Linked DNA regions of Saccharomyces cerevisiae S288C. Changing the gene in region 1 together with any one later gene gives a genetic interaction. Each region holds a gene or a part of one and is shown in the gene's direction. Other genes may lie near its edges.

The links.
Region 2: of ZUO1 (region 1) and RKR1, changing one enhances a phenotype caused by changing the other (phenotypic enhancement), as found in Saccharomyces cerevisiae (2 studies listed by BioGRID).
Region 3: of ZUO1 (region 1) and FLO11, changing one suppresses a phenotype caused by changing the other (phenotypic suppression), as found in Saccharomyces cerevisiae (one study listed by BioGRID).
Region 4: of ZUO1 (region 1) and RPS31, changing one suppresses a phenotype caused by changing the other (phenotypic suppression), as found in Saccharomyces cerevisiae (one study listed by BioGRID).

Annotation. Positions count from the first base shown.
Region 1 is NC_001139.9:1,059,430-1,066,107, reverse strand, and holds ZUO1 (zuotin), read left to right. Parts: upstream 1-2,954; coding exon 2,955-4,256; downstream 4,257-6,678. Other genes in the region: BIO2 (biotin synthase), read left to right, coding at 1,168-2,295; protein ERV29, read left to right, coding at 4,518-5,450; UPA1 (putative methyltransferase), read left to right, coding at 6,068-6,678. UniProt on the Saccharomyces cerevisiae protein: Component of the ribosome-associated complex (RAC), a heterodimeric chaperone complex involved in regulation of accurate translation termination and in folding or maintaining nascent polypeptides in a folding-competent state.
Region 2 is NC_001145.3:760,983-771,289, reverse strand, and holds RKR1 (ubiquitin-protein ligase RKR1), read left to right. Parts: upstream 1-3,250; coding exon 3,251-7,939; downstream 7,940-10,307. Other genes in the region: glutamate decarboxylase GAD1, read right to left, coding at 1-489; YMR247W-A (uncharacterized protein), read right to left, coding at 1,864-2,007; long-chain fatty acid-CoA ligase FAA4, read right to left, coding at 9,399-10,307. UniProt on the Saccharomyces cerevisiae protein: E3 ubiquitin-protein ligase component of the ribosome quality control complex (RQC), a ribosome-associated complex that mediates ubiquitination and extraction of incompletely synthesized nascent chains for proteasomal degradation.
Region 3 is NC_001141.2:387,414-396,782, reverse strand, and holds FLO11 (Flo11p), read left to right. Parts: upstream 1-3,107; coding exon 3,108-7,211; downstream 7,212-9,369. Other genes in the region: YIR020C (uncharacterized protein), read left to right, coding at 2,226-2,528. UniProt on the Saccharomyces cerevisiae protein: Homophilic binding protein that enables kin discrimination in heterogeneous yeast populations by mediating homotypic cell-cell interactions during flocculation, a reversible and asexual process in which cells adhere to form aggregates (flocs).
Region 4 is NC_001144.5:497,287-500,043, forward strand, and holds RPS31 (ubiquitin-40S ribosomal protein eS31 RPS31 fusion protein), read left to right. Parts: upstream 1-1,660; coding exon 1,661-2,119; downstream 2,120-2,757. Other genes in the region: exocyst subunit SEC10, read right to left, coding at 1-758; UPS2 (Ups2p), read right to left, coding at 2,292-2,757.

The DNA of each region.
Region 1 (6,678 bases):
CACTAGTTTAGCTTTCTCATCAGTACGAAAAATATTAAATCTCAATTAATTACTTTAGAAGGATATGATGTGGTCAATGCATCTGATCTTCTACTGACGCATTTAGGGCTTATGTGACCTAGTTATTCATTGCGAAAGCAGAACGTACTACCATTTACGAATCTGAACTTCGAATAACAACAGCAAGAGGCTCTAGGATGAAGTCTTCCCGGAAACCATTACTCCAAAGTAGGTAGCTGTGGAAAGCAGCTTCCAGATAATAGTAAATGGATAACCGTTTCTAAGCGACCTTATTTCAGTCTTGAAAATACTTACCCATTTTGCATCGATTGGGAACTGAGAACCTACAAGCCGTAAGATTGCGTAGCTTTCTCTTGGGGTCCGTGAGATCCGTATTCTGCATTATTACTGCATCTCCAACGAAACTACCTCATTGTGTGAAACTACTATTTCTTGCAAGAAGTTATGACTGCGATGCAAATTACAAAATATACAATTGTAAAACGGCTTAATAGAAAGACATTAGTAGCCCTTGGTCATTACCTTCATATTCAAATAAGCTAATGATCAAATAAAAAAGCCCAACGATATTGCCTGTTGCATCTAAAATTTTCCAAGTCAAACGAGTTCATATTATATACTATGTATGGAATATATATATATAATTTTTCATTTTATTTTCAAAAAATGCCACTGCGCAAATCTCTGTCCATCAGTACTGTTCTTTACAATTTTATCGTGGGAAGTTGCGGAGGGGCGTGTTGGCTAGCAAAAGATAGTCATGTCGAGATGACTCGCGGATGAAGTCTCGCGTCTTCTTCGAAGCCATTTTGCCGGCATTTGGTTATGGAAAAAAGTTGTTGAAAAGTGCAAAGCATTAGAACCGTCCCTGTCACGCTGGTGCCCCCACAGATTTCACGTGAGAGACGATGCCTGAGGAAAATCCGCTACGCTGCTGCCTAATCTGTATTTACAGGCTATGTAGTTCGTTTGCCACTCTGCTAGATTCTCTTGGTATCTTTTATTTCTTCTCTTAGGCAGATCTTATATAAAAGGGCAAAGCTTTTTTTGCTCCCATACTTGCTGAAAATTTTTCAGATCTTACTCTTCTGGTAGTGGTGTCCTCAGAAGAGCTAACTTAGCCGATTATTTTCAATTTAGTGCAGTATGATGTCTACTATCTACCGTCATTTATCTACCGCTAGACCGGCTTTAACTAAATACGCAACCAATGCCGCAGTTAAATCGACAACTGCATCCTCAGAAGCTAGTACTCTGGGTGCTCTACAATATGCATTGTCTTTAGATGAACCAAGTCATTCGTGGACAAAATCGCAATTAAAAGAAATTTATCATACCCCACTGCTCGAACTTACTCATGCAGCACAATTGCAGCACAGAAAGTGGCACGATCCAACCAAAGTGCAATTGTGCACATTGATGAACATCAAATCTGGTGGTTGTTCTGAGGACTGTAAGTATTGTGCGCAGTCTTCGAGAAACGATACCGGTCTAAAGGCTGAGAAAATGGTTAAAGTGGATGAAGTGATTAAAGAGGCAGAAGAGGCCAAAAGAAACGGATCTACTAGATTCTGCCTAGGTGCTGCATGGAGAGACATGAAAGGTCGTAAATCAGCCATGAAAAGAATTCAGGAAATGGTGACCAAAGTGAATGATATGGGGCTAGAAACGTGTGTTACTTTAGGTATGGTTGATCAAGATCAAGCAAAGCAATTGAAAGATGCAGGTTTGACTGCATACAACCATAACATCGACACTTCCAGAGAACACTATAGTAAGGTCATCACCACGAGAACCTACGACGACAGGTTACAGACCATCAAGAATGTCCAAGAATCTGGAATAAAAGCCTGTACCGGTGGTATTTTGGGTCTCGGTGAAAGCGAAGACGACCATATAGGATTCATCTACACATTATCCAATATGTCTCCTCATCCTGAGTCCCTACCAATTAATAGACTAGTTGCTATCAAAGGGACTCCAATGGCTGAGGAACTTGCCGATCCAAAGAGTAAAAAGTTGCAATTCGACGAAATTTTGAGAACCATTGCCACAGCGAGAATAGTTATGCCAAAGGCCATTATAAGACTTGCCGCTGGTCGTTATACAATGAAAGAAACAGAGCAATTTGTCTGTTTCATGGCAGGTTGTAACAGTATCTTCACCGGTAAGAAAATGCTGACGACAATGTGTAACGGTTGGGACGAAGACAAGGCAATGTTGGCTAAATGGGGATTGCAACCTATGGAGGCATTTAAGTACGACAGATCTTGAAGATAGGGATATGTGGATAATTCTACGATTCTAACTGTACATTTCTCCCTTATTTATTAAGAAAACCTATATATATATATATTTACCTATTTATTCTGCCATCGTTAGCTGGCGTTTTATCTTTTATGCATCCAATATCTAATATTACTTCCGATCACGCATTTAGTTCTGATTACAGCAGAAATCGTAGCGCGATGAGACATTTCATCAAATGGCCTTTTTTTTTTGGGCAATTTTTTTATATCTTGAAATGATAGTTGCCTTGTACTTTCAACCGTTCATTTCATTAAGAACTTGACTAAATATGAACATTTCTTAAAAAAAAGGTTGACATATAAAAATAATCGAATATAAACGATGGAATTTTTATAAAATTAAACACATATATATATATATATTAACTATAAATATGTCAAAGAAACCATACAATCATAGATTTATAACTATCTTTTGGATGACATTAATGAACATAACGCTCCTAATACAAATGTCCAAAAAATATTACCCGCAAATACGAATCTTTTTTTTTTCTCGATGAAATTTTGCAAAGAGTTCGAAATTTTTATTTCAAGAGCTGGTAGAGAAAATTTCATAAGGTTTTCCTACCGATGCTTTTATAAAATCTTCGTTTTGTCTCACATATACCAACAAGAGTAACGATGTTTTCTTTACCTACCCTAACCTCAGACATCACTGTTGAAGTCAACAGTTCCGCTACCAAAACCCCATTCGTCCGTCGTCCGGTCGAACCGGTTGGTAAGTTCTTTTTGCAACATGCTCAAAGAACTTTGAGAAACCACACCTGGTCTGAATTTGAAAGAATTGAAGCTGAAAAGAACGTCAAAACCGTTGATGAATCCAATGTCGACCCAGATGAGTTGTTATTCGACACTGAATTGGCCGATGAAGATTTACTGACTCATGATGCTAGAGACTGGAAAACTGCCGATTTGTATGCTGCTATGGGTTTGTCTAAGTTGCGTTTCAGAGCTACTGAAAGTCAAATCATCAAGGCTCACAGAAAACAAGTTGTCAAGTACCATCCAGACAAGCAATCTGCTGCTGGTGGTAGTTTGGACCAAGATGGCTTTTTCAAGATTATTCAAAAGGCCTTTGAAACTTTGACTGATTCCAACAAGAGAGCTCAGTACGACTCATGTGATTTTGTTGCCGATGTTCCTCCTCCAAAGAAGGGTACCGATTATGACTTTTATGAAGCTTGGGGCCCCGTTTTCGAAGCTGAAGCTCGTTTTTCTAAGAAGACTCCTATTCCTTCTCTAGGTAACAAAGATTCTTCCAAGAAGGAAGTTGAACAATTCTATGCTTTCTGGCACAGATTTGACTCCTGGAGAACCTTTGAGTTCTTGGACGAAGATGTCCCAGATGACTCTTCTAACAGAGACCACAAGCGTTACATTGAAAGAAAGAACAAGGCCGCAAGAGACAAGAAGAAGACTGCTGATAACGCTAGATTGGTCAAACTTGTTGAAAGAGCTGTCAGTGAAGATCCCCGTATCAAAATGTTCAAAGAAGAAGAGAAGAAGGAAAAGGAAAGAAGAAAATGGGAAAGAGAAGCCGGTGCCAGAGCTGAAGCTGAAGCTAAGGCCAAGGCCGAAGCTGAAGCGAAGGCTAAAGCTGAATCTGAAGCCAAGGCTAACGCCTCCGCAAAAGCTGACAAAAAGAAGGCTAAGGAAGCTGCTAAGGCCGCCAAGAAAAAGAACAAGAGAGCCATCCGTAACTCTGCTAAGGAAGCTGACTACTTTGGTGATGCTGACAAGGCCACCACGATTGACGAACAAGTTGGTTTGATCGTTGACAGTTTGAATGACGAAGAGTTAGTGTCCACCGCCGATAAGATCAAGGCCAATGCTGCTGGTGCCAAGGAAGTTTTGAAGGAATCTGCAAAGACTATTGTCGATTCTGGCAAACTACCATCCAGCTTGTTGTCCTACTTCGTGTGAATACCGTAAGAAATGGAATAGAATATATACGAATGTATACGAATATTATAGAGAACGTTCTCTTTTATTTCTATAATGAATAGGTTCGGGTAACGGTTCCCTTTTTAGGTATTTCTAGAAGATGAGAGAAGAGGGAATAATGAGAAAGGCGAAAAATAAAGGACACCTTTAACGAAAGATCAAAGGTGTCCTTATTTACTTACAATAGCTGCAATTAGTACGACTCAAAAAAAGTGAAAACAAAACTGAAAGGATAGATCAATGTCTTACAGAGGACCTATTGGAAATTTTGGCGGTATGCCAATGTCATCATCGCAAGGACCATACTCTGGCGGTGCACAATTCAGATCAAACCAGAACCAATCCACTTCTGGCATCTTAAAGCAATGGAAGCATTCTTTTGAAAAGTTTGCCTCCAGAATTGAGGGGCTCACTGACAATGCAGTTGTTTATAAATTGAAGCCTTACATTCCAAGTTTGTCAAGATTTTTCATTGTGGCCACCTTTTATGAAGATTCGTTTAGGATCTTATCACAATGGTCAGATCAAATTTTTTATCTGAATAAGTGGAAGCATTACCCATACTTCTTTGTCGTTGTGTTTCTAGTGGTTGTTACCGTTTCCATGTTGATTGGCGCCAGTTTGTTAGTTTTAAGAAAGCAAACCAATTATGCCACCGGTGTGTTATGTGCTTGCGTTATTTCTCAAGCATTAGTTTATGGGTTGTTTACGGGTTCATCATTTGTCCTAAGAAACTTTAGTGTTATTGGTGGGTTGTTAATTGCATTCAGCGATTCAATTGTTCAAAACAAGACAACATTCGGTATGCTTCCTGAATTAAACAGCAAAAACGACAAAGCGAAGGGTTACCTGTTGTTTGCTGGTAGAATTTTAATTGTTTTAATGTTTATCGCTTTCACTTTCAGTAAATCATGGTTTACTGTTGTTTTGACCATTATCGGCACAATATGTTTCGCCATTGGTTACAAGACAAAATTCGCATCCATTATGTTGGGTTTGATACTAACTTTTTACAATATCACGCTAAACAACTACTGGTTTTATAACAATACTAAGAGAGATTTCTTGAAGTATGAGTTTTACCAGAACTTAAGCATCATTGGTGGGCTTCTATTAGTTACTAATACTGGCGCTGGTGAATTATCCGTTGATGAAAAGAAGAAGATTTACTAGATTGTAAAGGAAATCTTTTCTTTATGTCCCTTCTGTTCACTCATCTTCTAACAATCTATTTCGTTTTGCCTTCTTGTGATCGCTTTCAATACCCTGCTAGCTCACATATATACTTTTCTTACTGTCATATCTACATAAAAGATTTCTTTTTGTATAGGCGCACTTAACGAAATTTGATTGGTCTCACGTTGGCTTGTATATTCTACCTTCAATCAATGTGGTTATATCGCACAGAATTCCCTTGTATTATGATAGAACTTATTTATTGTAATTAGTTTTGATTTGACCATTTTCGTTGGTCCGTAATTGTTTTACACTGTCACTGCTTAAATCATTGAAGAGATGCTCTTGAGATAGCATCCGCTCTCCTATCTTTCCAAAGAAACGCTTTAAAGTCGCTTTAAGCAATCTCTAAAGTTTAAAAATTCCTAATAAATAGCTCTTTAGCAACTATTGTAAACCGCAATAATGGGCACACCCAAACATATTATTTGAAATTTTTTCCACCTCATCGCTTGAAAACACCATGTTGAAATTGGGATATTAAGTAGAGGAGGTAATTGATACCAATGAGGTGAAACACATCTACCAAGGGAAGTGTAGCATAATAGGGGAAGATGGCAGTAAAACATAAATCCGAGAGCCTTAAGCACGAAGAGGGGGCTGCCAAAAAGGCAAAGACAGGCCTATTGAAGCTAAAAAAAATCATGGATATAGAATCTAATGTGGTCAAATATTCCATATGCATACCGACAACTGTTATCGACAATTGTAATAATTTGGAGCAAGTTACATTTACTGCATATCAAATAGCTCGGACAGCTGTATTGTTCAATGTTCAAGAAATCATAGTTCTAGACCAGTCAAAAGATAAAAAGCATGAAAAAAAATCAAGATCAAAGGAGACTATCTCTGATTGTTTATTACTTGCCACACTATTACAATATTTTGTAACGCCTCCAAACTTACTGGATACTACATTCAAAAAAAAAAACAAGTTATATTTAAAGTGTGCATCTACCTTTCCGCCATTGAACCAGCTACCTTTTATGAACGCATCTGCCGAACAACACTACAAGGAAGGCTTATCAATCGCACGAGATAGCTCAAAAGGTAAATCTGATGATGCTCTAACAAATTTGGTGTATATAGGAAAGAATCAAATTATTACGTTATCTAACCAAAATATTCCCAATACTGCGCGTGTAACAGTTGATACAGAGCGCAA
Region 2 (10,307 bases), on another chromosome or scaffold:
GAGTCCACCCAACATGATTGCCTCACTAGAACCTGTGGTGGCACAGCCTATTGGTTCTTCATCGGGATTAGCGTGCCATAATTGAGCTAGCATAGAAATACAACGCTGAGTTAGCTCAATTAATTGCGGATATTCATCATTGTCAGCAAGATTTTTGGTCAAATTTTCATCAATCAATTTCCTTGCCTGATCAGTGGTAAAAGTGTTCACGAAACTGGCAAGGTTCAAATGCGGATTACCATCAAGTGTTAATTCATTATGAATCAGTTGGTAAGACAAATCAGCAGGTAGTCCCTTTTTTGGAACTGAATACTTATTAGCCATGCCCTGAGACGAAGTATCTCTCATATTGTTCGATCCTTGATGACCACTTTGGACAGCGGATTTTTGAACGTCGTTAGAAAGCAATTGCAGACCTGCAAGGTCGTGGACAACTTTTCCAGCGATATTCTCGAAGTTCTTCTGCTTAGAACCGTGCCTGTGTAACATTATTCCTTGTTTTGTTCAGCCTGGATTGTTAAGAGCGACGTGTAATATCTTGAAACATTTTAGCATCGCCAAAAGGTGAGATTTCAGAGAGTGCGTTGCAGTTCAGTGGTCAATTATGCTCTCTTATATATGTATTTATGTTGCATCACTTTACTGATCCCCTTTTTCTGGTGTGCCGCACGATCTATCCCTTTTCCTTATAGAGTTCAACCTTGCTGTTAAGGGTGAAAAAAAAAAAATAGTAAAATAATGAATTTCTAATTCACTCTGATGAACTTAATAATCACAAGAATGCCTAAATTGACGTGTATTTATATGCTGCTCTTATGCAACTCTTGCTCTTAATTTGTCTAACTTGCCAGAAAGATTATTTATAAACGCAGTGAACAAGAATTTGAACAGCCCATATACTATGAACTTCTTTACTTTCACACGTTGTACATTTGCTATCGCAAATGAGATGATTTGATTATTTGAAAAATGTCAAGAACCAACTAGAATTTACCAGCATCAGCGCCTAGGAACCCGGGAAGGTACACTCTTCTAAACGAGACTGAGCATCACTGTTACTCGAGATACTTCCAAGAAAACAAAGTATAAACGGCAACCTGCGTGATAAAAACTATCTGAACACGTAGATGCGGCTACATATATAGAAAGTCAGCAGTTGATTCCGGAAGAATCCAGAGTACTATATGGTAGACTGGATTTATCTGTCCATATTTGCGGGCTTGATATTCGGATAGCATTGAGGCAGAGACAATATACAGTTTTTGGGTTAATTCTTGGCCTTGTGCTATAGCTAGCACGTCGTCGAATCCTAAGACCTTGTTTGAAAAGAATCGTCCAAAATGGGAGAACTGGCGCCAATGAATAAACCAGACGAAGGTATCACGAACATGTGCCAAAGCTTGTACCGGTACCAAATTATGCGAATGTCAGTCAGTAACAATGTCAGACCCTACTATCAACCCAGATGTAGCTCAAGTGGAACCTACTGTTCTCTCAAGCTTTTTAATAGAAACGCTCATAGAATATCATAGAGAGTTCAATAATAGCGGTATCATAGTTTATCTGATAACGTGCAAACTGTCCTGATCATGAAGCGGAGTTGAATGACAGGGTGATGGAATTGATGGCTAGTTGCTTTCGTATGCCTCGGTATAGGCATGCTAATGACACCCTAGGGTGGCTATTAGTATGTTGCAATGCCGAGAGGAGGTTGAATAACAATACCATTACATCAGCCGATAATATAGTGCATTGTATCAGCAAAATTAAGCAGTCAATTTATTTTTTTATCATTTAATGGCGATGGTTGGATAATTGTCTAAGAACAGTATTGAGTATTGCAATAAACCACTAAGGTTAGCCTCACGGCCAAACTATGTTGGTATCACTGTTACTAACAAGGTGGTTGTGTACGTGAAGGCAGATTGGCCTCAGAAGGCTCTTACCATTAAATAACAAGGCCATTATTCCACTCAATAGCTTGGCACTTGCACATTTGTGTGCCATTTACACTGAATGATTCATCTTTTTGATATCATGCAATATAATAATACAGGTGATAGAATGCGAAAAGCACGGGAAATAGGTGACTTTTGAGATAGTTGTTGAATACCATTTCCATAACAATACAATTTGGACAACATTATCTTATACCGAATATACCTTAAGTTTTACTCGAAAATATAGGAATCCATAAAAGGATCGATGATTCTTCATAATAATATTATGGTTTCTCGTTCCACTTTATATGTTGTCACTCATTATCCTATTGCATTATCAAGTCGTGCGTTCCACCCCCATTAAATTTGATGGCAGCTTTTAAATCTTTACCTTTATGCCATATTTCTACGTCGTATATGTAATAAGATGGATGCTAGACTATAGGGGGTAGGTGGTTCCTCTTCCGACATGTAGAGAATGTGGATTTTGATGTAATTGTTGGGATTCCATTGTGATTAAGGCTATAATATTAGGTATGTAGATATACTAGAAGTTCTCCTCGAGGATTTAGGAATCCATAAAAGGGAATCTGCAATTCTACACAATTCTATAAATATTATTATCATCGTTTTATATGTTAATATTCATTGATCCTATTACATTATCAATCCTTGCGTTTCAGCTTCCACTAATTTAGATGACTATTTCTCATCATTTGCGTCATCTTCTAACACCGTATATGATAATATACTAGTAACGTAAATACTAGTTAGTAGATGATAGTTGATTTTTATTCCAACACGACAATCATGAGTAATTACTTGATAGTGGATAGTAAGTTTTGATAGACACTTCCATTTTAAACTGATTTCACTTTTTACAGTGGCTAGAAATTACAATAAGAAATGGGCGTGTGGCGTAGTCGGTAGCGCGCTCCCTTAGCATGGGAGAGGTCTCCGGTTCGATTCCGGACTCGTCCAAATTTTTTGCTACTTTGCAATTAGTGTAACTTCATATTTAAAATTATAGTTAATCAAGAACAGAATATCGTCACAATGCTCTTTAAATGTTACGTACTTCTTACCTCCAGCTTGACTATATACTTGTCAATTCGAGTTAACCCAGATTATGCCCCAACATGGAAAACTGAAAAATATTGATGAAGCGAGGAAAAAAAACGTCATAGGAAAAATTCAAATGTTGCAACTTCAGATGGTTTTCTTCAATATATACAATACTGAAGAAGTCCTTCTTAATAGTTCAAATCTGCTAAGCCATCAAAAAAAGTTCAAGCAATAGTTGGTTCTTAATGTCGTTTGGTGGAATCAATACATTTCAACAGTATAACACAGATTTAGGGCTCGGCCATAATGGTGTTAGAATATCCTTAAACTACTTTGATGGTTTGCCGGATCCAAGTCTTTTAAACTCCTTGTACTCGAACGAGCTGAAACTCATTTTCAAATCTCTTCTGAAAAGAGATGAAACTACAAAAGAAAAAGCTTTAATGGATCTTTCCAATTTGATCAGCGACTTTAACCAGAATGAGTACTTTTTCAATGACATTTTTCTTCTTTGTTGGTCGCAGATATATGCTAAACTGATAATTAGTGATTACAAGGTCATCAGACTGCAATCACATCAAATTACTATAATGCTTGTCAAAAGCCTTCGGAAGAAAATATCGAAGTTTTTAAAGGATTTTATACCTTTGATACTTCTCGGTACATGCGAACTCGATTATAGTGTTTCCAAACCTTCTCTTAATGAATTAACAGAGTGTTTCAACAAAGACCCAGCAAAAATTAACGCCTTATGGGCTGTTTTTCAAGAACAACTATTGAATTTAGTAAAGGAGATTGTTGTAAACGAGAATGAAGATACCATTTCTGATGAACGTTACTCCAGTAAAGAAGAATCTGAGTTTAGATACCACAGAGTTATAGCAAGTGCCGTATTGCTGCTGATTAAGCTTTTTGTTCATAACAAAGACGTCTCAGAACGTAATTCTTCCAGTCTTAAGGTGATTCTTTCTGATGAGTCAATCTGGAAACTACTTAACTTAAAAAATGGGCAAAATACAAATGCCTACGAAACAGTTCTTCGATTGATTGATGTTCTTTATACAAGAGGTTACATGCCTTCCCACAAAAATATAATGAAGTTAGCGGTGAAAAAACTATTGAAATCGTTGACTCATATTACGTCAAAGAATATTCTAAAAGTATGCCCTGTTCTCCCATCAATACTGAACCTTTTAGCTACCTTGGATGACTATGAAGATGGGACAATATGGTCATACGATAAATCTTCTAAAGAAAAAGTACTCAAATTTTTATCGGTTTCCCGTACTTCACCATCGCCAGGATTTTTCAATGCTGTGTTTGCATTGTACAGCTCGACTAAAAGACACAGTTTTCTTGATTATTATCTTGAATGGCTTCCATTTTGGCAAAAATCGGTGCAAAGACTGAATGAAAAGGGCTTTTCTGCGAGAAACAGCGCTGAGGTTCTTAATGAGTTTTGGACAAATTTTTTGAAGTTCGCTGAGGATTCATCAGAAGAAAGAGTGAAAAAAATGGTGGAAAGTGAGATTTTTAACTCTCTGTCTTGCGGGAAATCTTTATCTGAGTACACAAAACTGAACCAGACTCTTAGTGGCGTCTTTCCACCCGATAAATGGGAGAGAGAGATTGAAGATTACTTCACTTCAGACGAAGACATAAGAAAAATAAAGGTGAGCTTTGAGAAGAATCTTTTTGCTTTATTGGTTACTTCTCCTAATAACGAATCCGCAATTAGTCGTTTATTCGATTTTTTTGTGCAATTAATCGAAACAGATCCCTCAAATGTTTTCAACAAATACGACGGTGTATATGATGCTCTCAATTACTTTTTAGATTCAGATATGATTTTCTTGAATGGGAAGATAGGGAAATTTATAAACGAAATTCCAACGTTGGTCCAAGAATCAACATATCAAAACTTTGCTGGTATCATGGCACAGTACTCAAACTCCAAATTTTTCAAAATGAATACTGACGCGATTACTTCGTTGGAAGACTTTTTTATCGTTGCGCTTTCTTTTAACTTACCAAAGACAATAATTTTAGCCACAATGAATGAGTTGGACAATGATATTTATCAACAATTAATGAAATCAGATTCCCTAGAATTAGAATTGTACATTGAAGACTTTATGAAAAATTATAAGTTTGACGACAGTGGGGAAATATTTAAAGGTAATAATAAATTTTTAAATCAAAGGACTATCACCACACTTTACCGAAGCGCAGTTGCCAATGGCCAAGTTGAACAATTTTGTGCTGTTTTGTCTAAATTAGATGAAACTTTTTTTTCAACGTTATTGCTGAATACCGATTTTCTTTCTTGTGCATTGTATGAAGTTTCAGAAGACACTAATGAGAAACTATTCAAGTTGTCATTACAGTTGGCTAAAGGGAATTCTGAAATCGCTAATAAGTTGGCCCAAGTGATTTTGCAACATGCTCAGGTTTATTTCAGCCCCGGGGCAAAAGAAAAATATGTCACACACGCCGTGGAGCTAATTAATGGCTGCAACGATACTTCTCAGATTTTTTTTCCCGCTAACGCAATCGAAGTTTTTGCCAGATATATGCCAGCAATTGATTATAGGTCATCCTTAGTGAGCAGCTTAAGTACTAACACGCATTTGCTCCTTACAGATGATAAGCCTATCAATTTAAAAAATATGCAAAAGCTCATCAGGTATGCTCTATTCTTAGATGCCCTACTTGATGCTCTTCCAGAGCGCGTTAATAACCATATTGTTGCATTTATAACTGTAGTTTCTGAGCTCGTCACTGATTATAATTGCCTTTCAGAGGAACCAAATGATCTTTACTATGATTTTGGGCATACCTTTTTCAAACATGGCAAAGTAAATTTGAACTTTTCTGATATTGTTGGAAACGTTATTCAGCCTGCTAATGGTGGTGATGCTATGCTTACTTTTGATATTGCTGAAAGTAATTCTGTCTACTTTTTTTATTATTCAAGAGTATTATATAAGGTTCTATTGAACAGCATTGATACTGTTTCATCCACCACATTAAATGGGCTATTAGCATCGGTTGAAAGTTTTGTCACGAAAACTGTGAGGGATCAAAAATCTACTGATAAAGATTATCTCCTATGTGCTATATTACTATTGATGTTTAACAGGTCCAACTCAAAAGATGAGATAACGAAATTAAGGACATTGCTGGCATCTCAATTGATTGGGATTAGAGAAGTAGAACTTGTCGATCAAGAATTCAAGTCGTTAGCTCTTTTAAATAATCTGCTGGATATCCCACAGGCAGATAAACAGTTTGTTCCTATAGCACCGCAGAGACTGAACATGATATTCCGTTCAATACTAAAATGGTTGGATAGTGATCTTGCCTACGAGCCTAGCTTTAGCACCGTTAGATTGTTACTACTAGATTTTTTCACCAAACTGATGAGGTTTGAAGGAGTCAGAGATATGGGCATAACAGCTTTTGAACTTTCGGAAAGGTTGCTGGCAGACTCTCTATCGATGTGTCAAATTGATGACACTTTATATTTGTTAGAACTTCGCTCTTCCTGTTTGAACTTATATGAAACATTGTCGCAAGGCGTTTCCAAAAATGGCGAGGAAATCTCAGAATATGGTGATGAAATTCAAGAAAATTTGATTGAACTGATGTTTCTCAACTTTAATCAAGAAAGAAATAACCAAGTATCCACACTCTTCTACCAGAAATTGTACAAGGTCATTTCCTCAATGGAACTCAAAAAGTTAGAATCTCAATACAAAAGAATATTCGAGGTTGTATTGAATGATAAGGATATCGGTAGTAATATTAATCAATCAAGATTATTAACTACTTTGTTGGGTTCTTTGGTGGTAAAAACACAGCAGGATATTATAATTGAGTATGAACTGAGGATTCAAAAACAAACTGGCTCAGACGTAGATGGTAGTGCATCTGATAATGATGTAAACTCAAAATTTAAACTACCTCAAAAATTATTACAAAAAGTTACTGATGAGGTGCCAAAAGAATACCTTGAATACGAGAATAAAAATTCATTTATTAAATATCTATGGTATTGGCACTTGATACTGATGTACTTCAAAGATACGTCTTATAATATGAGACAAATATTTATTGAACAATTAAAGGAAGCTGGTTTAATCAATAGAATGTTTGATTTCATAACAGATCAAATAGATTTAAGAGATACTGAGTTTTGGAAACAGGTCGACACCAAGGAAATTTCGGAATACAACATTGTCGGCAATAATTTCTCTCCTTATAAAGAAGACATATTTGAAGAATGTAAAAAACTTTTGGGCCATACACTTTATCAGTTGTTTAACAACGTCGGTTGTCTAACGAGTATTTGGTGGTTAAATATAAAAGATAGGACATTACAAAATGATATTGAAAAGTTTGTCTCAGAGTTCATCTCCCCAATTTTGATCAAAAATGAATTTGACGATATCAATTCTAAGATGGACCGCCTGACTTCTAATGATGATGCTTTGACTATTAAATTAAATAATATTACTAATGAAGTGAAGGCAAGCTATTTGATTGACGACCAAAAGTTGGAGATTTCCTTCAAACTACCAAAAAACTACCCTTTAACAAATATCCAAGTTAATGGCGTCTCTAGAGTTGGTATAAGTGAACAAAAATGGAAACAATGGATAATGTCTACACAACATGTAATTACAGGCATGAATGGATCCGTTTTGGATTCGTTGGAGTTGTTTACTAAAAATGTGCACTTACAATTTTCTGGTTTCGAGGAATGTGCCATATGTTACTCTATACTACATGCCGTGGATAGGAAACTACCTTCGAAGACATGTCCGACTTGTAAAAATAAGTTCCACGGAGCATGTCTTTACAAGTGGTTTCGATCATCGGGTAACAATACATGTCCATTATGCCGTAGTGAAATTCCATTTAGAAGGTAGACTATCGCATATAAATTTCATATAAATGTACTACATTTTTTAAACAAAGTTCCTTTTATTATTGTGCTCTCTTACAAATTATACAATCCAGCCCTATACCTTGCCAATCCAGCCCATCACCCGGATATTCTGGAAATTTTTTCTCTTCAGGATTTTTTCAGGATAAAAATCGAACTTGAAAGAAGAATGGTTTTTAGTTCAGGCCTTGTTTTCAGTTTTTAGCTACTAAAAGAGGGATAACCATTGATGAAATTCTATTGAATGTCCCCAATTTTCGGAAAAGGACTGCACCGAAATATTTCAATCAAAATCATTTATCGTTTTGTTTAGCTATTTTTTTCTCAAATTATCACTCTTTTCTTCCTTTTTCATTCTCTCAATTGTTCTTTTTATTTGAGGAAATTTGATTGTATTGCATATACAACTATGCGATGCACTTTGTTCATTTTAACTTTGGATATATGTGCCTTGCTATGAACGCGTTCATTTTTAAGTGACCGGACCCTAAAATATTCAGGTAGCATGACGGAAGCTATGAATTAATCCTGGTGGAGGGGTGTGTTCAGTTTGAGGGAGGATGATAAAATGGAACGGAGATTGCAAGGAGACGTAGAAAATAAAGTAGGAGCAAATGGATTTTCTGCTTGGCGGTATAGCACGTTTGAGTTTTTCAGTCGTGTCTATGTTCAGGTTTATGATATGCTGTGGTTGATTCTGTTGATTCACACGTTTCGCTTCCATATAGTGTGTTAACGGAAACTCCATGTTAAGGTTTATTATAAGAAAATTTTTTGAATTTGTTCTTTTTATATTGGTTTACTCTCCTCGTGATTTCTTTTCTTTTTTTATCGTCATCCTCTCTGAATGTATTTATTACGCATGGCTTTTATTCATTGCTTTCTAACTGTGATGGGAGTTTTTTTCTTGTTGCATAAATGAACGTGGGCGAGGTTTTTATTTTCAAACTTGGTGTACTATAGTGCAATGCGTTGTTAATTGTAATACGATGTTTCTTCGATAAAAGGAGCGGAGGGAGAAGGTGAAATTACGAAGGAAAGAAAGAGATGAGAAATCAAGAATGAAGCAAGACATTGATTGATATGGTTGTTTTCGGTGCATGTTTGATTACTAAAAGTTGGGGCATTCGATGGTTTACAGAAGTCATAAATTCAAATATCCCGTTTAATCGCTCATCTATTAAAATCAATAGTAGAATGTAGTTTCATACCCGGGAGAAATTCATAGTTTAGATCACGCTTAATAATGTCAATCTTGTCTTGCTGAAATGAAACTTAAACATGTTTATGTGTAATGTTATTTATTAATTATTAACTGTATCTGTAGGAGAAGAAACTATGTATTGTGCAAGTAGTTCAGGTGTTTGCAAATTGATGCTCTTAGAAAATGAAACGTAGTGTTTATGAAGGGCAGGGGGGAAAGTAAAAAACTATGTCTTCCTTTAAGTGTTTTCTTTATAAACTCTTTCCACATCTGGCTTGACAGCCGCTAGAATATCTCTTCTCTTTAATTTTTGGGCGGATGTAACAAGGCCATTTTCTGGAGTCCATTCTTCTTCAAAGAAAACAATGCCACATAATAATTCAATACCATTCAAGCCTTGAGATTTGGCAGTTGACAGCATATCTTTGCAAACGGCATCCTGTAGCTTCTTTTCATGGATATAGCTTTCGACATCTTCACCTGGTACCATTATACCTAATTCGATAGCCAGCTTAGACAAGTGTCCTAAGTTAGGGACCACAATACCGACAGGCTTAACTTTGTTTTCATCAGCGTAGACACAGATGTTTTGGACGTAAGGATTTGATCTGTAAATGGATTCTAATTTTTCCAATGCAATGTACTCACCATTTAAGGTCTTAACCAAATTTTTCTTTCTATCAATGATCTTAACTTGTCCCTTGGGGGTCCATTCAGCGATATCACCGGTACGGAACCAGCCATCATCGGTAAAGGCCGCAGCAGTTTCTTCAGGATTCTTATAGTATTCAGAACAGATGGGTGCACCCTTAAACAGCAATTCACCTTGATTATTCTTGGCAAAATAGCCCAAATCTTCGACATCCACCAATTTAGCTGTAATAGTTCCGACAAGGTCACCAGCAATACCGTAATCAAAATGTTCAGGCTCCAGGACACAGGCATTAGCCACACCCTCAGTTAGCCCATATCCAATGAGCATAGGACATAGAAGGTTGGAGAGGAATTTTTGGGCGTCTATGCTGATTGCAGACCCACCGTTCAGAATAAACCTTAAGTTTCCACCGGTTGCTTCTCTGATTCTCTTGAAGATCAACCCACTCAGCAAGCCGCTACATGGTATATTTCTCTCTTTCAAAGCATAGAC
Region 3 (9,369 bases), on another chromosome or scaffold:
TCACAGGACAAATTCTCGAAGACGCTACGGAAAGATGCTGAGCTTGATCATAATTCTTCAGGCTCCCAATTCAAGAATACAATTACTTAGCGTGGGTGCTTCTGCTCAGTCTTCGTTTCCTATCTCCACATACCAATCACTCGTTTGTTACTAATTCGAATAATTTACTGCTGTAAGGAGTCGTACCGCCAACTAAATCTGAATAACAATTTGGCTGCTAGAAGTTAAAAAGTAGGCGCTGCAATGATTATGTGGTATGATCAGATTGTGTCGCAACGCTCAGCGGGGTTTTGGCTCAATGGGACCGCTGCTAATAAAACGTTTAACTAGCGAATTTTGGAACACACCGGTTGACAAAAGTATAAGGAGTCTCTTTCCGTGAGTTCCCCTCTTCCTCTCACTGCACTTCAACTATGCCTTATAGCAACCAAGAAGCTAGAAAATGCCAACTATTAAAAAGATAACCTCTTTGGAAGCAAATAAAACGGAGATTATCTTGGGATCTATTTCACAAATTTACGGCTAATTGGAATGAACAGCGCCAAGTAGCACTGGTCAAACTGCAGAGAGTATTAGAACTTGCTTTATTCCGTATATCGTACTTTAGGTCGTCAGTTTTACCACTTCGGTACGCAAATGAAAATGAAAAGCTCATTCACAACTTAGACACAATTTCGCCGTTTACAAGTAGCTGAAAAGTCCATCTATCGAATTATGAATGATACTATTTTAAATATAGTCGTTGCTGCACTCGTTTTCCATGTTCTTTTTATCCACACATCCGATGTTTTACTTACAGTTGAGCATCTCAGGGCCAGCGACAAATATAAACATATTATACTCAAAATGAAGCTCGTTGAAAAGAGGATATTTCTTAACCTCTTTTACAGTGCTTTCAACACCTTTTCATCTGTGTGCCATGTCAGATTAAGGATGCTCAACTTTTCGAATTATTATTACAAATTTCAAAGAAATTACTAGTCCTTTTTGTCCCCTAATGTATCCCTCATTTCATACCGTCGTTTTGGGGTTCCAACTACGTATAGCTTTCAAGTGTGGTTTTACGGTAAGAACAACCCCCCATCGGTTAGTGCGGAATACTTTCCTATTCTCATCGAGAGCCGAGCCATACACCTAAGGTGGACAGAAAGCTAAAATTCCAAAACAGAAAAATCTAACATCTTTGCTCCCTTACAAGTAGGAACGCTAGCGTATCAACCCATCTCCAGATTTGCCCAGCATTTCTGTAGAACACCCAATGCGAATGAAGACTAATGAATATTGTAAAGACAAAAAATAGGAAAAGTTTAATTAGTGATGGTTCTCACCACCCCAAAACGGTCACTTGCATGCATTGAGGACATGCACCTGCAGTACTTGTTTTTCTCGAATGTTTTTTACCATCTCTTTTTTCCTTATCTGAGCTGCTGACGCAGACGGACATTGTTTCATATTTCGAAAGCTGTGCGGGAAAACGGACCCTAACACGAATGTGAATGCGCTAATCGGTATTTCCACCACATGAAACCTGCTACTTTTTCAGTCCTCTTCGTATGCATTTCCCAAAATTCATTCGTAGCCTTGTCAACTTAGACTCAGTTCCACGGCGTGCAGGACGGGGTATTATGAATAAAAGGATCCACGGGTGAGATTTGTTTTATGTTTTAGGTATGGAGTTTTGTACCACAAAACTTTAGGAATACCGGATTGTGTGCCTACGCCAGCCCCAGAGTATGTTCTCACAGCTGTAATTCCTAGTGATCTTTTCCTGACTCCAATAGGAACGCCGGTAGGCAAATTAAACTTTCGCGGCAGGAAAAAAAAGGCTTTTTCTTTTTTGCCTTTCAGTTTCTCGGAATGTGGCATTACATAAGCATAATCCTTTTTGGGTGTGCCTGGAAAGTTCAAATTAAGGTTTTTTTCTTCTGTTTTCTTAACAAGAAAATGTCGCCCAAAGAGTTTCGGCCGTTATTTTCCTATCGAGTGGGTCCTTTTTGTCTTTAGTCCTTCTCTGGGGCTAGCGATCACTGCAAAATTAGGCTTTACTGGTACGAGTTAACTTTTTTTCTTTTTTTTGTCATCCTTTTCTTTGGGGCTAAGAATGGACTTCCCTTTTCTTTTTCTTTGTTGCGACAGTGGCTTCAAAGAACTGCTGATTGCTCAAGGCAATCAGTCCGAGCGTTTAGAAGGTGATTGTAGGCAGAAATTAACTTTGCGGTAAAAGAATGACATTCTTTCTTAAAAGAAAAATTAGCTTTTTTTTGTCAGGCATTGCACAAACTTTTTTATTTCTGCCTATACTCTTAAACAGATCAGTCATTCATGTTGTCTTTTTAACGGTCGTACTGGGACATCGCATACCTTGGGATTCCGTAATTAGGTGCAACAATACGGGCACAACTCATTCTGCGGTATCTTCACGGACAGAACTTCTATTGCCTATCGGTGGTGTGATTAACAATTGGAAGCGCAGAGCTTGGAATGGATTTTCAATTCAATGGATTTGGAGGTATTCGTTTGTTTACTAATATTTACTTTGAGGACATTGCCCAACCCTAAAAGTGCCTGCTCAAGAATAGAATAACATTATGATACGTTTTCTTGACCGCTGAGCAATTTAAAGCAACTATTAGGGTACGATTGTTTCTAGAGAAATGTGGGTCATCTTTTTAGGTCCGTTCTCTTCTGATGAGGTAACCTTTACAAAAATGTCATAGAGTTACCAATTGGGATTCAAGGCATCATCGCAATATACTTCGTTCTTTTACGGAGAAATTAAGCTCTTTCTACTTTGAATTAACTGTTAGACTTGTCTTATCTGAGGAATGTCCGTGTTCGAATTAAATAAAAAATTAGGGCAGTTTTATTTACCTTAACAAATATGTTCAAGCATTTACGTTACTGCGCTCTCTTCTAGTTCAAGAACGGATAACTCATAGACTTACCAGTACAAATTGTTGAAGGGTTCCCAATTGATAAAAAGGATCTCTTGCTTCCTAAAATAAACGTATAAAAAGCACCCTATTCATCAGTTATTATCCCTCGTCATGTTGTGGTTCTAATTAAAATATACTTTTGTAGGCCTCAAAAATCCATATACGCACACTATGCAAAGACCATTTCTACTCGCTTATTTGGTCCTTTCGCTTCTATTTAACTCGGCTTTGGGTTTTCCAACTGCACTAGTTCCAAGAGGATCCTCCGAAGGAACTAGCTGTAATTCTATCGTTAATGGCTGTCCCAACTTAGACTTCAATTGGCACATGGACCAGCAAAATATCATGCAGTATACTTTGGATGTGACTTCCGTTTCTTGGGTTCAAGACAACACATACCAAATCACTATTCATGTCAAAGGTAAAGAAAATATTGACCTGAAGTATCTATGGTCTTTGAAAATCATTGGTGTCACTGGTCCAAAAGGTACCGTCCAACTATACGGTTACAACGAAAATACCTATTTGATTGACAACCCAACTGATTTCACAGCCACTTTTGAAGTTTATGCCACACAAGATGTCAACAGCTGTCAGGTGTGGATGCCTAACTTCCAAATTCAATTCGAGTATTTGCAAGGTAGTGCCGCTCAATATGCAAGCTCCTGGCAATGGGGAACTACATCTTTTGATTTGTCTACTGGTTGTAACAACTATGACAATCAAGGCCACTCTCAAACGGATTTCCCAGGCTTCTATTGGAACATAGATTGTGACAATAATTGTGGCGGTACGAAGTCATCTACCACTACATCTAGCACTTCCGAGTCATCTACCACTACATCTAGCACTTCCGAGTCATCTACCACTACATCTAGCACTTCCGAGTCATCTACCACTACATCTAGCACTTCCGAGTCATCTACATCATCATCAACCACCGCTCCTGCTACACCAACCACTACCTCATGCACTAAGGAAAAGCCTACACCCCCAACCACTACCTCATGCACAAAGGAAAAGCCTACACCTCCTCATCACGACACCACTCCATGTACAAAGAAGAAAACTACCACATCTAAGACATGCACTAAGAAGACTACTACTCCAGTACCAACCCCATCAAGCTCTACTACTGAAAGTTCTTCTGCTCCAGTACCAACTCCATCCAGCTCTACTACTGAAAGCTCTTCTGCTCCAGTAACCAGCTCTACCACTGAAAGCTCTTCTGCTCCAGTACCAACCCCATCAAGCTCTACTACTGAAAGCTCTTCTGCTCCAGTAACCAGCTCTACCACTGAAAGCTCTTCTGCTCCAGTAACCAGCTCTACCACTGAAAGCTCTTCTGCTCCAGTACCAACTCCATCCAGCTCTACTACTGAAAGCTCTTCTGCTCCAGTAACCAGCTCTACCACTGAAAGCTCTTCTGCTCCAGTAACCAGCTCTACCACTGAAAGCTCTTCTGCTCCAGTAACCAGCTCTACCACTGAAAGCTCTTCTGCTCCAGTAACCAGCTCTACCACTGAAAGCTCTTCTGCTCCAGTACCAACTCCATCCAGCTCTACTACTGAAAGCTCTTCTGCTCCAGTAACCAGCTCTACCACTGAAAGCTCTTCTGCTCCAGTACCAACTCCATCCAGCTCTACTACTGAAAGCTCTTCTGCTCCAGTAACCAGCTCTACCACTGAAAGCTCTTCTGCTCCAGTACCAACTCCATCCAGCTCTACTACTGAAAGCTCTTCTGCTCCAGCTCCAACCCCATCAAGCTCCACCACTGAAAGCTCTTCTGCTCCAGTAACCAGCTCTACCACTGAAAGCTCTTCTGCTCCAGTACCAACTCCATCCAGCTCTACTACTGAAAGCTCTTCTACTCCAGTAACCAGCTCCACCACTGAAAGCTCTTCTGCTCCAGTGCCAACTCCATCAAGCTCTACTACTGAAAGCTCTTCTGCTCCAGTACCAACTCCATCAAGCTCTACTACTGAAAGCTCTTCTGCTCCAGCTCCAACCCCATCAAGCTCTACTACTGAAAGCTCTTCTGCTCCAGTAACCAGCTCTACCACTGAAAGCTCTTCTGCTCCAGTACCAACTCCATCCAGCTCTACTACTGAAAGCTCTTCTGCTCCAGTACCAACCCCATCCAGCTCTACTACTGAAAGCTCTTCTGCTCCAGTACCAACTCCATCCAGCTCTACTACTGAAAGCTCTTCTGCTCCAGTAACCAGCTCTACCACTGAAAGCTCTTCTGCTCCAGTAACCAGCTCTACCACTGAAAGCTCTTCTGCTCCAGTACCAACTCCATCCAGCTCTACTACTGAAAGCTCTTCTGCTCCAGTACCAACTCCATCCAGCTCTACTACTGAAAGCTCTTCTGCTCCAGTACCAACTCCATCCAGCTCTACTACTGAAAGCTCTTCTGCTCCAGTAACCAGCTCTACCACTGAAAGCTCTTCTGCTCCAGTACCAACTCCATCCAGCTCTACTACTGAAAGCTCTTCTGCTCCAGTGCCAACTCCATCCAGCTCTACTACCGAAAGCTCTTCTGCTCCAGTACCAACCCCATCAAGCTCTACTACTGAAAGCTCTGTAGCACCAGTACCAACCCCATCTTCCTCTAGCAACATCACTTCCTCCGCTCCATCTTCAACCCCATTCAGCTCTAGCACTGAAAGCTCTTCTGTTCCAGTACCAACCCCATCAAGCTCTACTACTGAAAGCTCTTCTGCTCCAGTATCCAGCTCCACCACTGAAAGCTCTGTAGCACCAGTACCAACCCCATCTTCCTCTAGCAACATCACTTCCTCCGCTCCATCTTCAATTCCATTCAGCTCTACTACTGAAAGCTTTTCTACTGGCACTACTGTCACTCCATCATCATCCAAATACCCTGGCAGTCAAACAGAAACCTCTGTTTCTTCTACAACCGAAACTACCATTGTTCCAACTAAAACTACGACTTCTGTCACTACACCATCAACAACCACTATTACCACTACGGTTTGCTCTACAGGAACAAACTCTGCCGGTGAAACTACCTCTGGATGCTCTCCAAAGACCGTTACAACTACTGTTCCAACTACAACTACGACTTCTGTCACTACATCATCAACAACCACTATTACTACTACAGTTTGCTCTACAGGAACAAACTCTGCCGGTGAAACTACCTCTGGATGCTCTCCAAAGACCATTACAACTACTGTTCCATGTTCAACCAGTCCAAGCGAAACCGCCTCGGAATCAACAACCACTTCACCTACCACACCTGTAACTACAGTTGTCTCAACCACCGTCGTTACTACTGAGTATTCTACTAGTACAAAACCAGGTGGTGAAATTACAACTACATTTGTCACCAAAAACATTCCAACCACTTACCTAACCACAATTGCTCCAACTCCATCAGTCACTACGGTTACCAATTTCACCCCAACCACTATTACTACTACGGTTTGCTCTACAGGTACAAACTCTGCCGGTGAAACTACCTCTGGATGCTCTCCAAAGACTGTCACAACCACTGTTCCTTGTTCAACTGGTACTGGCGAATACACTACTGAAGCTACCACCCTTGTTACAACAGCTGTCACAACCACCGTTGTTACCACTGAATCCTCTACGGGTACTAACTCCGCTGGTAAGACGACAACTGGTTACACAACAAAGTCTGTACCAACCACCTATGTAACCACTTTGGCTCCAAGTGCACCAGTAACTCCTGCCACTAATGCCGTACCAACTACAATAACCACTACTGAATGTTCTGCTGCTACAAACGCTGCCGGTGAAACTACATCTGTATGCTCTGCTAAGACTATCGTAAGTTCTGCAAGCGCAGGCGAAAACACTGCACCTTCGGCTACCACCCCTGTCACGACGGCTATTCCAACCACAGTTATTACCACTGAGTCATCTGTTGGTACTAACTCCGCTGGCGAAACAACAACTGGTTACACAACCAAGTCCATCCCAACCACTTACATAACCACTTTGATTCCAGGTTCAAATGGTGCCAAGAATTACGAAACTGTGGCCACAGCAACCAACCCTATTTCAATCAAGACTACATCCCAACTAGCTACAACAGCTTCTGCTTCTAGCGTGGCTCCCGTTGTCACATCTCCATCTCTAACTGGTCCACTACAATCTGCTTCTGGTTCTGCAGTCGCTACATACTCTGTTCCTTCTATCTCGAGTACTTACCAAGGTGCTGCTAATATCAAGGTTCTTGGAAACTTTATGTGGTTGCTACTCGCTCTTCCAGTTGTATTCTAATGATACAATTCCAACATGTTCGTTTCTTCATTACGATGTTTTCATTCTTAAATTAAGATATTATTTCGATACCCTCTTTACTTTCTTCCACCATTCTGTTTTCGCTGCCATAATTTTGTAAGGCAGAAAACTACCCGTAGAATACATATTCATTTACATATTTTTTAGTTCTTCAAAAATTATCTTTTACCTTTTTTTACTTTATTTTACCATTTTTCTTCTAGCCCTATTTTGACCATCTGATAGCTTATTCAAGAACAAGTACCGGTAGTATTGGCACCGCGCCACTTTTCCCTCTCGCTTTTTTTTTTTTTCTTTTTGCCAAGCGCCTGCACGTTCTTTTGTCTGGAGTCTTGGAAAATGATAACCACCAAAAATCATCCCACGGACGGCTTGAGTAAAAATGTTTTTCCGCGAGACGGAAAGAGACGTAACAACCTTACATTTTTCCTAAAAGATTAATAAACCTGATATTGCCTTGGCACAACTAATAATCTTCGACCAGGCTTTGATGAATAAGAGGATCTTTACAGGCACCTTTGCTCTTTGAACAAAGAATATTTCCTTCTTTCTATGTGAGTTTACTGGAGTAATGCTTATATTATTCGCGTCCCCCCACGCTAACCTTAATGTGCCTAGATATCATGGGTTATTTAATGACAAGTCCGCTAGTGTCATCAACCCACTCTGTCTTTCATTTAAGATTCGCGAGATAGAACGACATCTTCAATTTAAACTTTTTAGGTGACGTTTCTCTTCTTTATTTCCTAAACAGAGCACCGAGACTTACGATTTTGGCGGGCCAACCTTAAAAAAAAGCTAAAAAAGTTAAATTTTGACATGAAGTCTCGTTAGAAATTCTTGAGGACGATGTAGATTTCCACGATTGATCCTCTCTTCAGGGCCGATTGTCTTCGCTCAGAAAATTCCGGAGTAGAAAAAACAACGTTGCCTGTTCTGATTGACCAAGGCTTCTGTACGAAAAGGGGTCTTCCTTTTTCGTACAGAAGATATTACTAATTTCGGTCCGAAATTCTAGTGCTCTTCGGACTGTATTCACGAAAAAAAGCCTCTTTTTTCTGAGAATGAACAGAAAAAAGGATGCGGCAAGATCCGGTAAGAAAGAGGTAGTTCCCCGCGTGCACTAACTACCCCGGTATATTTTGCTTATGTAAGCATATTTAGATAATAAATAGATATAGAAGAAAAAAGGGGCCCGCCTTTTTATCTTAGAAGATCACAGAGTTCTTAGCAGTTGATTTTCACAGTATGGGGTCAAATTTCACATCAAAAATACCTTAAAGGGGAAATAATTCGAAACATCTTTCCTTCCTTTGTAATGCAGATGACATGAAGTAATCGGAAGAAACTTTAATTGTCATGCCACTCTCTCACTGTCCTTCTAACGCTACAGTAGCGTTGATCTCTATGTTACAGGCTCTAATTAATTTTTTATTAATGTTTTATTTTTATTGTTGCGATGGCAATGAGTACACGTCCTAATAAGAAATAAGGTTAGAGCCTGAAATTCGTAAGGACATTAGAAAAAAAAAATAATAAAGGAAAAAAAAGAAATGTCCCCGATGTCCGAAATGGATCGTTATGCCGTATTACCGGTCCAGATTTACCTACTTCCCCTAAACGTATTACAATAAGTGCCGGGTCCTTCTTACTAGAGGTTAAAGAGGGTATCGCTGTCGGCGATTGATGGTACATATCTCTTATAACAGAATGGTTTGAAAAATCCGAAGGATGAAAATAACATACCATGTCAATTTTTATTGCGTAATTGCGAGATAGAATGTTGCCGATTGAAATCGACCACTCTCATACATTGGCAACTCAATATAGTACGCCAAGAATTGAGGAAGTTTCCTGAAATGACATACTTGATTTACACGGTTAAGAAAGAGTTTCCACTTTTCTAACCGCGTAAATCAAATGAGGGTACAGACCACAGTGACTTTCTATTTCCGGTATTTACAGCACTGACATATGTGAGGCTTATCGCAAAAACTGTTTACAGCTGCAGAGCAGCAAAGAAGTTGACACAAGGATACGAGCGAATTAGGGTGGGCGCTTATACTTAGTTTGAAACACAGAGGGAGGATACTGACCTAAAATGGAAAAACGTACACCCGTTGATCAGGATTATCTG
Region 4 (2,757 bases), on another chromosome or scaffold:
TCATTTAATTTAGTAAAATTATTCTCTCTATATGCAGAATTAAAATTCTCTAACAGCTCATTTTCCATCATTTCAGAGTACTTTTCAATAACCAGCTTTGTGTTTATTGTTTTTGGTATTGAACTTGTCTCTAGTTTGGATGATAATATCAATAGATTCTTCATTAATTTCACGGACTTTAAGTTTAATTTCCAGTTTTTAGACAGCCTTAATTGTTCAACAATATCTGATTTTCCCATGGAATAAAAGTCATTGTACCTGCGAATCAATTCCACACTTTGAATATAGTTTTGCTTTTTCTTGATTGCGGTTTCTAATTTATCTCCCAATGGCGAAACAACTTGAGTAACATTTGTCAAGCGATCATCTAGCTTGTCGAATGTAAGTAAAGTAGTATGCAAATCCTTGGATAATTTTATCACATTCTCCGAATGAATAACTTCCTGAGTAGCCACTTGCTCGGAAAAATACTGTCTTTTATTTAGTGTTTCCTCATTTAAGTTTTTTAGTTCCTTTAAGGTAGATTCAAAAGTTCTAATGTAAGGTTTTGGATCTAATTGTTTCCAAATAGCCTCTCTGATTGCATCCTGATCCTTTTCATTGGTTGGAAGATTTTTCGTGTTTGCATCAATCAACACGTCATTACGATGGTCTTTGCTCAATTCCTGAACGAATTCATTGACTGTTAATCCGCCCAGGAAATTGTCCGTTTTCAATAGTTTCTTCCATTTCGGATCGAGTTCATATAATGAGTTCATGTTGTAACACCACTTGATGACAAAGCAAATTTGCTCAATTTTCTATATCCCTTTAATGCATGAACGGTTCTTTATTTTGTTTTCTGTCGACATTCTAGTTTTTCGGAATCTCAAAATAATTAATTACATATACGTACATAAGTAGCCCAGATAAACAAAAATACCTTAAAAAAGAGTTACTAGCCGTATATGGATGTTTGAAGATACATGGAAACCGTCTCTGGTGTCGTGTATATAAGAAACTTCTAGTTTTATTCAGACGCACTCATTATCTTTGCTACATAACATTTCTCTCTGATTTGACTGCGCATCTTACCCCTCCCCCATGCATGTGGAGTCATAGGAGTAATTTTAAAGGTAGAATTTCATATTAAATATCGCTGCTTGATTATTTTGTAGCAAATCAAAAGAGTGTTTCAAGTAAGTAAAAACATTTGAGCCTCCCCATTTGTTGAAAGGAGAGAAATTAAACTTGGTTGGGGTTAATTATTTGATGGGTATATTAATTTGCAACCGCAAGGTATCGATAATAAATATTCTACAAAACCTTTATCAATAGTGGTGAAGTCTTTAGTGCGATCTACCTGGGGTTAATGAACGAGAAGTTCTTGAGATATCTTTCCTGTTTACCTCCGTGCATCCTGTAAGGAATTGGGTTTATCATTTATCATTTATTTTAGTACAAACTTTTTTTTTTGGCCCGGGCGCACTTTTTCAAGCGGTGGGAACTCATCAAAATGAAAAACTAGATACTTTTAGACTTATTAAATGGTTTAAATATTTTGAGATGTTCGTTATATCAGAAACTTCCTTACTTCTATCTTTTATTCCAATACAAAGAAGTCACAAGATTACTTGGTAAGAAAGAAGCAGTTAATTTTTAATTTTGCCGACAAGCCAAGATGCAAATTTTCGTCAAGACTTTAACCGGTAAGACTATTACCCTGGAAGTTGAATCTTCTGACACTATTGACAATGTCAAGTCCAAGATCCAAGACAAGGAAGGTATTCCACCTGACCAACAAAGATTGATCTTTGCTGGTAAGCAATTGGAAGATGGTAGAACTTTGTCCGACTACAACATCCAAAAGGAATCTACTCTACACTTGGTCTTGAGATTGAGAGGTGGTGGTAAGAAGAGAAAGAAGAAGGTCTACACCACCCCAAAGAAGATCAAGCACAAGCACAAGAAGGTCAAGTTGGCTGTCTTGTCCTACTACAAGGTCGATGCTGAAGGTAAGGTTACCAAATTGAGAAGAGAATGTAGCAACCCAACTTGTGGTGCTGGTGTTTTCTTGGCTAACCACAAGGACAGATTGTACTGTGGTAAGTGTCATTCCGTCTACAAGGTTAACGCTTAAGTAAAGTATTTTTAAAACTTATATATTTTAATTGATCGTTAAATTTTGAAAAAGGCTTTTAATATTGTCATTATTTACTTTTCTATTTACAACAAAAGAACAAATGAATAGATAGACAGTAGAGGAATATAAGTAGTATGCAGTGCCATGCGGGATCAAGGAATTTGTATCTCTAATTTTCGTGGTTGTATGCGTCTCTAAACAAGTCAATATTTTGCTGTAAGATGGTTCTGCCGCTCCTTTCAGTTCCTTTAAGAAGCGTACCTGCAGATATTTTAACATCCTCCATGGTTTCATTGACTTTACTGACAAGTTGATTGCTCAAGTCATCAACATGTTTTTCCCAATTTTCACTAAATACTTGCAAAACAGCATCGAATCCCATTTTACCCTTTTTAGCGTTCTCGCAAAACCTTTGAACTGACCAATCTTCCATCTTATTACACAGCTTTCTAATGGATCCATATGCTGTAATTTGGGCTTCCTGCTGGAAAAGTGTTTTATTAGCCGAGTCATCGGGATGCGGGCTATATGTTACAGTTTCGTAGACTTTTAATAGATTGCACATCGTTAAATTACAGCTTCTCATGGTCAAGCTCTTTTTATTTAAGTCTACCACAGAAACTTCTCTGACATGA